2 linked regions of the Oreochromis niloticus genome follow. The protein of the gene in region 2 interacts with the protein of the main gene of each other region in a pairwise test. Links are inferred from orthologs where the notes say so. Each region holds a gene or a part of one and is shown on either strand. Other genes may lie near its edges.

Region 1 (3,752 bases), on a different chromosome or scaffold from region 2:
CCATCATCGGTTTTTTCTTCGGTAACCTTCGCTCACGCTCTCGGTTGATTTTTCTCTAGTCGGCAAACTCCTATCCTTCATTACCCGGGCTGCACGGCTGCAAAAACAAATACGCCTTGGCGCTTGTGCTGCACGTAATAAGTCACGTGACGTGATGCTGCGGCTGTGATTGGTTCGGCTCTGCACTACTTAATTTGGATTGGCTGTTTTTTTTTTAGTTTTTTTTTTTTAAGAGGACAAGAGAGATGAGGCCTATCGCAATAGTTTAATTTTTCTATCGAGAAAAAGTTATTTCGCAATACATATCGTTATCATTTTATCGCCCAGCTCTAGTTTTATCCTAACCCGGAGTTATGGTCCCAGGAACCAGAAGCTTCATTACGTCCATTAAGGTGCACTGACAGGTCCAAATGTGAGCTCCACCATCACCTGATGAACTTCCTCCAAAAACTTCCATATATTTAACAAATCCGAGTAACACGCTAACTGTGACAGACTCAAGGAGGTGTCCAGATGTTAGGAATGCTGGATGATTAAAGAAAATGAAGGAGAAAATAAGAAGTAAAGCCGAGGTACCGTGTTCTCGGATCGCAGGTTAGCGAACTCGCTCTTCTCCAGGATCACCATGTCCTTCCTGATGGAGTCCAGGTGAGCCATGATCTGCTGCAGGGCGATCTCCTAAAGAGAGAAAAGTCTGTCACTCTGTTGAAACAGCCCGAGGGTGGAGCTCGTCTCTGGTTCCCACCTGATGGGATTTGGTCACCATGTCTTTGTAAACGACGTCCATGTTGGCCGTGGCAAGAGTGACCAGAGCTGAGACGATCAGCTCCGCCTGGCTCTTCTCAAAACCTGCACAAAAACATCCGATGAGTACTCCGTGTTCCAGCGGTACTACACGCCAACACGCCTGACAGTGACCTCACCGCTGCTCTGCAGCTCTGTGACCATGGCGTGGGAATCGAACGTCAGTTTGCGCTGCTCCAGCGGCGTCAGCTCCACCTTCCTCACATCGAAGGTCGTCAGTGGCGCCCCCACATGGAGACCTTTAACACACACAGGCTGCATCCATACACTGTACAGGTGTGCACACACACAGGCCACGCCCCTAACAATGCAGACATTAAACTTTGATACAATTTAACCAGGTGAGTTAGATCACAGTGTAAACACTGCTGTGGAGCTGGACTCTGATTGGCTGTCCTTCATTACTGACTGGGTCCAGAACCAGAACCAGGACCTGATTTATGACCGTTTCCTGTTGGAAATTATGAACTACATAAACGCAGAAACGTCACAGTGACCGGAAACCAGCGTGTCTGCGGTGATTTGGTGAGTCTGTCAGAATTTTGGGGTCCTCTGCCTCACCTCTCCACGTGACCACCCGCCGCCAGAAACACCTCCTCATGAGCGCGTTCATCCCGGAAGCTGCTGTGATTTCAGAGTTTTTGTGACGTTTATTTAAAAACTTTGGAGTGTTTACACACAAACACACACAGCGCTCACAAACCGGAAACTGTCACACCGAGGAAGGAGCAAGGCCCTACCCATGCTGCATTCAGGGACCGTGGGTCACAGAAAAGACCGTGACAGTTTGGGAGACAGCGCCCCCGGCTGTGAGGGTGTCAGCACCGTTTGTGCTTCTTCAGTTTGGACCGGAGCTCTCAGATGTTTACATGTAACACACTTTATCCAAAAAGAGTTAGAGAGGATGGAATATGACAGATCAGTGTAGTTGTTGGAAGTGTTCAGATATTAATTAGCAGTGAGCAGGACGAGTCCATCAGAGGGACCGCTCAGGGTCGGAGAGGCTGACCTGGTTTGGACATCTACAGAGGAGACAGGGTGGAGGCAGGAGGAGGAGCTCAGGGGAGGTTCATGGATGTAGTGAAGGAGGACATGCAGAGGGTTGGTGTGACACAGGAGGATGCTGGGATAGAGGAGGTGGAGGTGGACAGGACGATCAGCTGTGGTGCAGAAAGAGGAACTTTAGGACAAAAAGTCTAAGAAAATTTAAGAAAAGAGAAGTGAAATCAGAAATTACGAGTATTTAAAAACAGAAATAAAAAGATAGCGAGTTTAAATAGTTTTTAATTTTCTTCTCTGAAACTGAAAGTTTTTCTTTTAATGACCTGAAAGGTTTTAAACGGGGGAGGAAACTTCAGTGTGTGACATTTAAGACTAGCACAGACGAAGCTCAGAATTCCGACCTTATGTGTCGACATTTAAAGTATCATAATAAAGACGAACTTTTTTTTTTTTACATAAATTTTTAAACGACACAGAAACGACGAACTGAGGACTCGGAAGCTCTTAAACTCTGTTTAAAAAAATAAATAAAAACAAAAACAAAAAAATAAAGTTCACTGAGGAACTGTCCGCCTCGGCTTTGTCAATAAAGTTTGAAGCAGACGTTAGCAGGCCGACTGTCATGGCGGCGGACAGCTGCAGCTGGTTCCCGGCGTTAGCTGTGGGAGTTTCTCTGCTGAAGTGCTTCTTTATCAGCGCGTAGTGAGTCCCAAGTCTTCCTCTGTGTCACCGCGGTCATTACAGAGCGGCCGTTAGCCAGCAGCACGTTAACGTCATTTCCTGTATGCGATGACAGTTAGGGGTCTGCGAGGGGGCAGGTGTGCGCGGATGAAATCGTTTAGTTTGACTTCGTGTGAAATCCGAGTTTGTTTGAACTTGAACCCGAGCCGTCATCAGCTGCAGGCTGGGCCTCAGTAATTCGCCGTATTTCTTTAGAGGTTCGGTTTGGCGCTGCGTGATGACGTTTTACACAGGTGATTGACCGTACAGGTACACCCCAGATCCAACAGGCGCCATATGTAAGTCACTCCGCCGTGTCTACTGAGCTTTAATGAGTGTCAGGAGGCTCAGAGCCCGCGAACGTCTCATGAAGCGCAGTGCTGCGTCTGTGAGGACCGGATCACTGCGGGAAATCTCCCGATTAAAAACATCCCGCGTGTTTTTCTGTGAGCACAGCGGATGAATCGGATCTTTTTATATCAGCGGAGTCAGTTTAAACCACTGAAACATTCGGCATTAGTACAGCCCAGCTAACACCTCTGTGCTCTGTAAAAAACCTAATACAGGTGCCCACAGTGTACAGAGCAGTGAGCCAGAGACCTTTAACCCTGAGACACGTGACCTTTGTGGTCCATGTGAAGTATGAAGTTAAGAAATGAGAAAGTGTTTGAGTACATTAGCAGATTTTTCAGCTCAGATTGATCCTCTGACCGGTAACAGTTCAGGTGTTACTGACTGAGCACCTGCCTGCTTTCCTTTAGATGAACGTGTGTATGGTCACTGTTGCCTCGGTGCAGGTGGTGCTCCTCAGGTGGAGGTCAAACGTGTTTAAAGCTGAAGCCTCCGTCTGTCCAGCTTGGTCTGTTAAACTGCTGTGTGTGTGTGTGTGTGTGTGTGTGTGTGTGTGTGTGTGTTTAGCCGGTCGACGGACTTCGAGGTGCACAGGAACTGGTTGGCCATCACGCACAGCCTGCCCGTGTCCAGGTGGTACTATGAGGTGAGGGAGGAGGAGCCCACACTCACCTGTAAAATGAAAGCATCTGTGGGTGAGGAGGCGGCGGGAAAGCTCGCTGATGTTTGACGAGGCGGTTTCTCTCCTGCAGAACACGTCCGAGTGGACCCTGGACTACCCGCCGCTGTTCGCCTGGTTCGAGCTCGGGCTGTCTCAGGTGGCGCGCCGCTTTGACGCAAACATGCTGCAGGTGGAGAACCTGAACTATGCCAGC
Region 2 (3,752 bases):
TACTTATCATTTTCCCCTGTATGTTAAAATAGACATAAAATTAATCATTACACAGAATTCAGGTTTATATTATTTAGTTTATCATTGTATTGTTTTCAAGTTAGTGGCTGAAACTACAAGCCTTTGTTTTTAACGAATGCCTCTCTTTAAACTAGTATTAATGTAGGTAACTGAGTTATTATACGTCCCCCAAAAAAGTCTTTTTGTTACTTCCACCATCTCCAAGAGATACATCATAGCAGATCTTACTAATACTCACTCACATACTGTCTTGCTTTTTCTCACTTTCATTCCTCTCCTCTCCAGAGCATACCTCCACCTCTCTGGACTCTCTCTCACCTGTTCCCTGCTTGCACTAAGACCACAACATCATCTGCAAATATTATAGTCCACAAAGACTCCTTCCTGATCTCCTCCATAGCTTTATGGTATGGCTCAGCAGCTCTTCACATCACCCTTGTTCTTGAAAACTAGTACCAGCACACTTCTGCTCCATTCTTCACAGACACTCTCTCTCTAGGATTTAGTCTGGTGAAAAAGTCCCTTGCCCTCTCTCCTAGACATCTCTTTACCTCCACAGGTATGTAATCCATCACTTACGGTGGATGTTGATTTTCAGTTAAGGGTCTAAATACTTTTTTTTCAACTAAAGAAGAGTATTTTGTGTTTTTGTAATTCAAACAACTTGCCTTGATTTAGAAATATGTTTAAATTTACTTCCATTTTCACTCCTGTGTTATGTTGGCATCCCCTGTGTCAGAAACTGTAATGCATTTTATTTATAAAACTGGAGTATTTCCTGCAGGTTTTTCCACTCTACAAAGAATATTAGAGTGAGCCATACTGGATCTTTTGACTAAGGTTATTAGAGTGTACCATTGGTGTAATGCTACTTCCACTTTTTATAAGACTGGTTTATCGTCTGTTTTATGTATGCTGCTATGACAACTCAATTTCCTTCTGGGCTTAATAAAGTTTCTCTGATTCTGATTCTAAAACAAAATAAAACCTAACTGAAATAATTGTGTGAACTTGGAAAACTATAAAAACAAAAAGGAAATTAGCTTAGTTTAATATGTTAGTTTGGTATAAAATGTTATTATAACTTGTCTGATAAGACTGTTGATGTTAATTGAGACTTCGGATGTCTATAAGACTTTGTAAAAGTTATTTTTATTGTAAAAACGTGTACTCTCTGTACCCTCCATAGAATAAAAATAAAAAAACAAGAAAATCCGATCTGAAAACTAACCGAAACTAAACTGAATGAAAAACAAAAAACTCAAAATTGAATAAACTTTTAAAGTAATGAGAAACTACAAAACTATAATGACTCCATACTGATTTCCTCTGGTTCAAAAAGACCAACAAAACCTATTGTGATAGCCCTAAACTGGTTTTCGGAGGGAGCGGCTGGGCTCGGCACTTTCCGGCACGCTTCGTGGATATTGACGTGAGCTCGTGGCCGCCTCTCCCAGACTGCTTTATGTCTGGCAGCAGCGGCCATGCGCGGTCGCCATATTACTGCTCACCCCTCCCCTCCGGCCCCGTCACAGACAGCGCAAACCACGGCAGCGGTGCGGGAGGCTCCATACTGAACGACGCTACCGCCGGGGAGGACCAGTGATACAGCAAAACCCAAACGAGGACCCAGAGGAATGGATTTAACCCGTCTACGGCGCTTTTATTAGAAGTGTTTCGCCTTTTAAAGCTTCGTGCTGCGGATTAAAGGTGGCTCTCTTTCGCTTCGTTTCCTCTTGTTAAAAGAATAAGAATAAAAAAACCCAGCAGTTTAAACAGCCGAGTTTGTGTTTAGCTAGCCGGTGATGGAGAGTGGCAGCTAGCTAGCTTTTAATATAACGCTAACTTACTCGGCAGCTTTTTTTGCCCGCTTTTTGTGTTCATTGCAGCGTGGCGTCTTTTTCTCTTCAACAAAACATACAGAAATGTTAGCTTGTGTTTAACAAAGACGCAGACGGACAACTCGGGTAGTTAACCGGCGAACTGGCATCAGCTGACGCTAGCGGCCACTAGCTTCTTTTGCCTCGCTAGGATAACGCCGAAGCGAGTGAAAGAAGACAAGGGTGTAAATATCGGCACAACTTTTGCCTCATATCTGCGCACTTCGTTGAAATATCTATTGTTTTTTTCTAGATAATTTTTTGGTCGTTTGTCTGTTGAGCGTAGTTTTGTCAAAACGGCGCCTTTAACGAGCTGCAGCCTTATTGCATACTGTCAGAGACCAACTACCGCCCGGATCTTCTCGAAATGCATCATCCGGACCCTGCAGGAGACTCTGGCAGTGTTAGAAAGATGGCGCATCAGGCTGTCTTTCACAGAAGGGGGAGCAACACTGGCAGCGGGAGCGGCCCTGGGCTGTCAACATCAGCTAACCCGGTGGTTAATAACAGCCACGTACCAGCCGATGACTACCCGCCCTCCCTGTTGATTCAACCTCCTGCTGGCTCATCCTCCCCGGGTCCCCATCATCCTCCTCCCCCCCACAGCCTAAATCTGCTCTCCCAGCCCCAGCCCACACAGTCCACTGGAGCTCAGATAAAGAAGAAGAGTGGTTTCCAGATCACAAGTGTGACTCCAGCACAGGTATCTGTTAGTACCAATAACAGCATCGCAGAGGATACTGAGAGCTACGACGACCTGGATGAGTCCCACACTGAGGATCTGTCATCTTCTGAGATTCTGGATGTGTCCCTCTCCCGAGCTAATGATGTAGTTGGAGCGGAGAGAAGCTCCTCAGAGGAGACGTTGAATAATTTCCATGAGGCGGAGACCCCTGGAGCGGTCTCTCCAAATCAGCCTTCACACCCCCACACCTTGAACCAGGCACAGAAGCAGCACGGTGGAGCCATGGTGAATGGGACTGTACACCATCAACATCCTCCACATCCTAACCATGCCCAGGTCTACCCTCTGTCCTCTGGCTCCGGGAGCACCCCGTCTGGTCTCACCTCTGGAGCTTTACCTTGTGTCACTCAGAAAATGCCTTCTAATATGGGCGGCCCTCAAGAGAGTGTTTCCCAGGCTGTTCCTTCAAGTATCCCCACTCAGCCTACAGGGACTGCAGTCCCGGGATCTATCCCTGGAATGCACAGCTCTGCTGCTGGCAATACAGTTAGCATAGTTAATCCCCAGACCAGCAGTGTTAGTAATGTGAATATGTTGAGCTCTGCCAACGTGCCTGTGAGAGGGGGGATCAGCACGAGTGCTAGCACTAGCAGTGGCGGCTATCCTCTCAATGTGATGAGCAGCAGTGGAGGGAGTGGAGGAGGAAGTGCTGCTGCTCCAGCTGGGAGCAACCTTATGGCCCCCGCTAGCATGATCCAGCAACACCAAAACTTAAACTCCAACATTGCTATGACTGCTACAACTACTGTTGCTGTGAGTGCCACTGGAGGCGTAGGGCTCCCCAGCGGGCTCCATGGAAGAGTTGGATCAGCTGTGCAGCAGCCTGTGAGTGCAATTGCTACAGCTGCGACCACAGCTCCTGTATCATCTGTTCCTGCGGCCCCTGTGGTGGCCACCACCACAAGCTCTCGCTTTAGAGTGGTGAAGCTGGACTCTAGCTCTGAGCCCTTCAAAAAGGGCAGATGGACTTGCACTGATTTCTATGATAAGGAGACCCCAGCTCCTGCCCCCTCTTCTTCTTCTGACCCTGGGTCCCACAGCATACGGCAGTTTGTCTCTGAGAGCTTTGCTGGGGGGTCGGAGAGAGAAAGCACAAGTGGGAGTTC

Evidence for each region.
Region 1: the proteins of TSC22 domain family protein 1 (region 2) and ccdc90b interact in a two-hybrid assay, tested with the Homo sapiens proteins (2 studies listed by BioGRID and IntAct). The link is inferred for Oreochromis niloticus from reciprocal best matches to the Homo sapiens genes TSC22D1 and CCDC90B.

What each region holds. Positions count from the first base shown.
Region 1 is NC_031975.2:32,755,696-32,759,447, reverse strand, and holds the start of ccdc90b (coiled-coil domain-containing protein 90B, mitochondrial), read right to left. Parts: upstream 2,138-3,752; 5' UTR 1,418-2,137; coding exon 1,366-1,417; intron 1,044-1,365; coding exon 924-1,043; intron 850-923; coding exon 746-849; intron 679-745; coding exon 577-678; intron 1-576. Other genes in the region: alg8 (dolichyl pyrophosphate Glc1Man9GlcNAc2 alpha-1,3-glucosyltransferase), read left to right, coding at 2,429-2,508, 3,445-3,523, 3,630-3,752.
Region 2 is NC_031987.2:11,265,198-11,268,949, reverse strand, and holds the start of TSC22 domain family protein 1, read left to right. Parts: upstream 1-1,483; 5' UTR 1,484-2,268; coding exon 2,269-3,752. UniProt on the Homo sapiens protein: Transcriptional repressor. Acts on the C-type natriuretic peptide (CNP) promoter. Acts to promote CASP3-mediated apoptosis.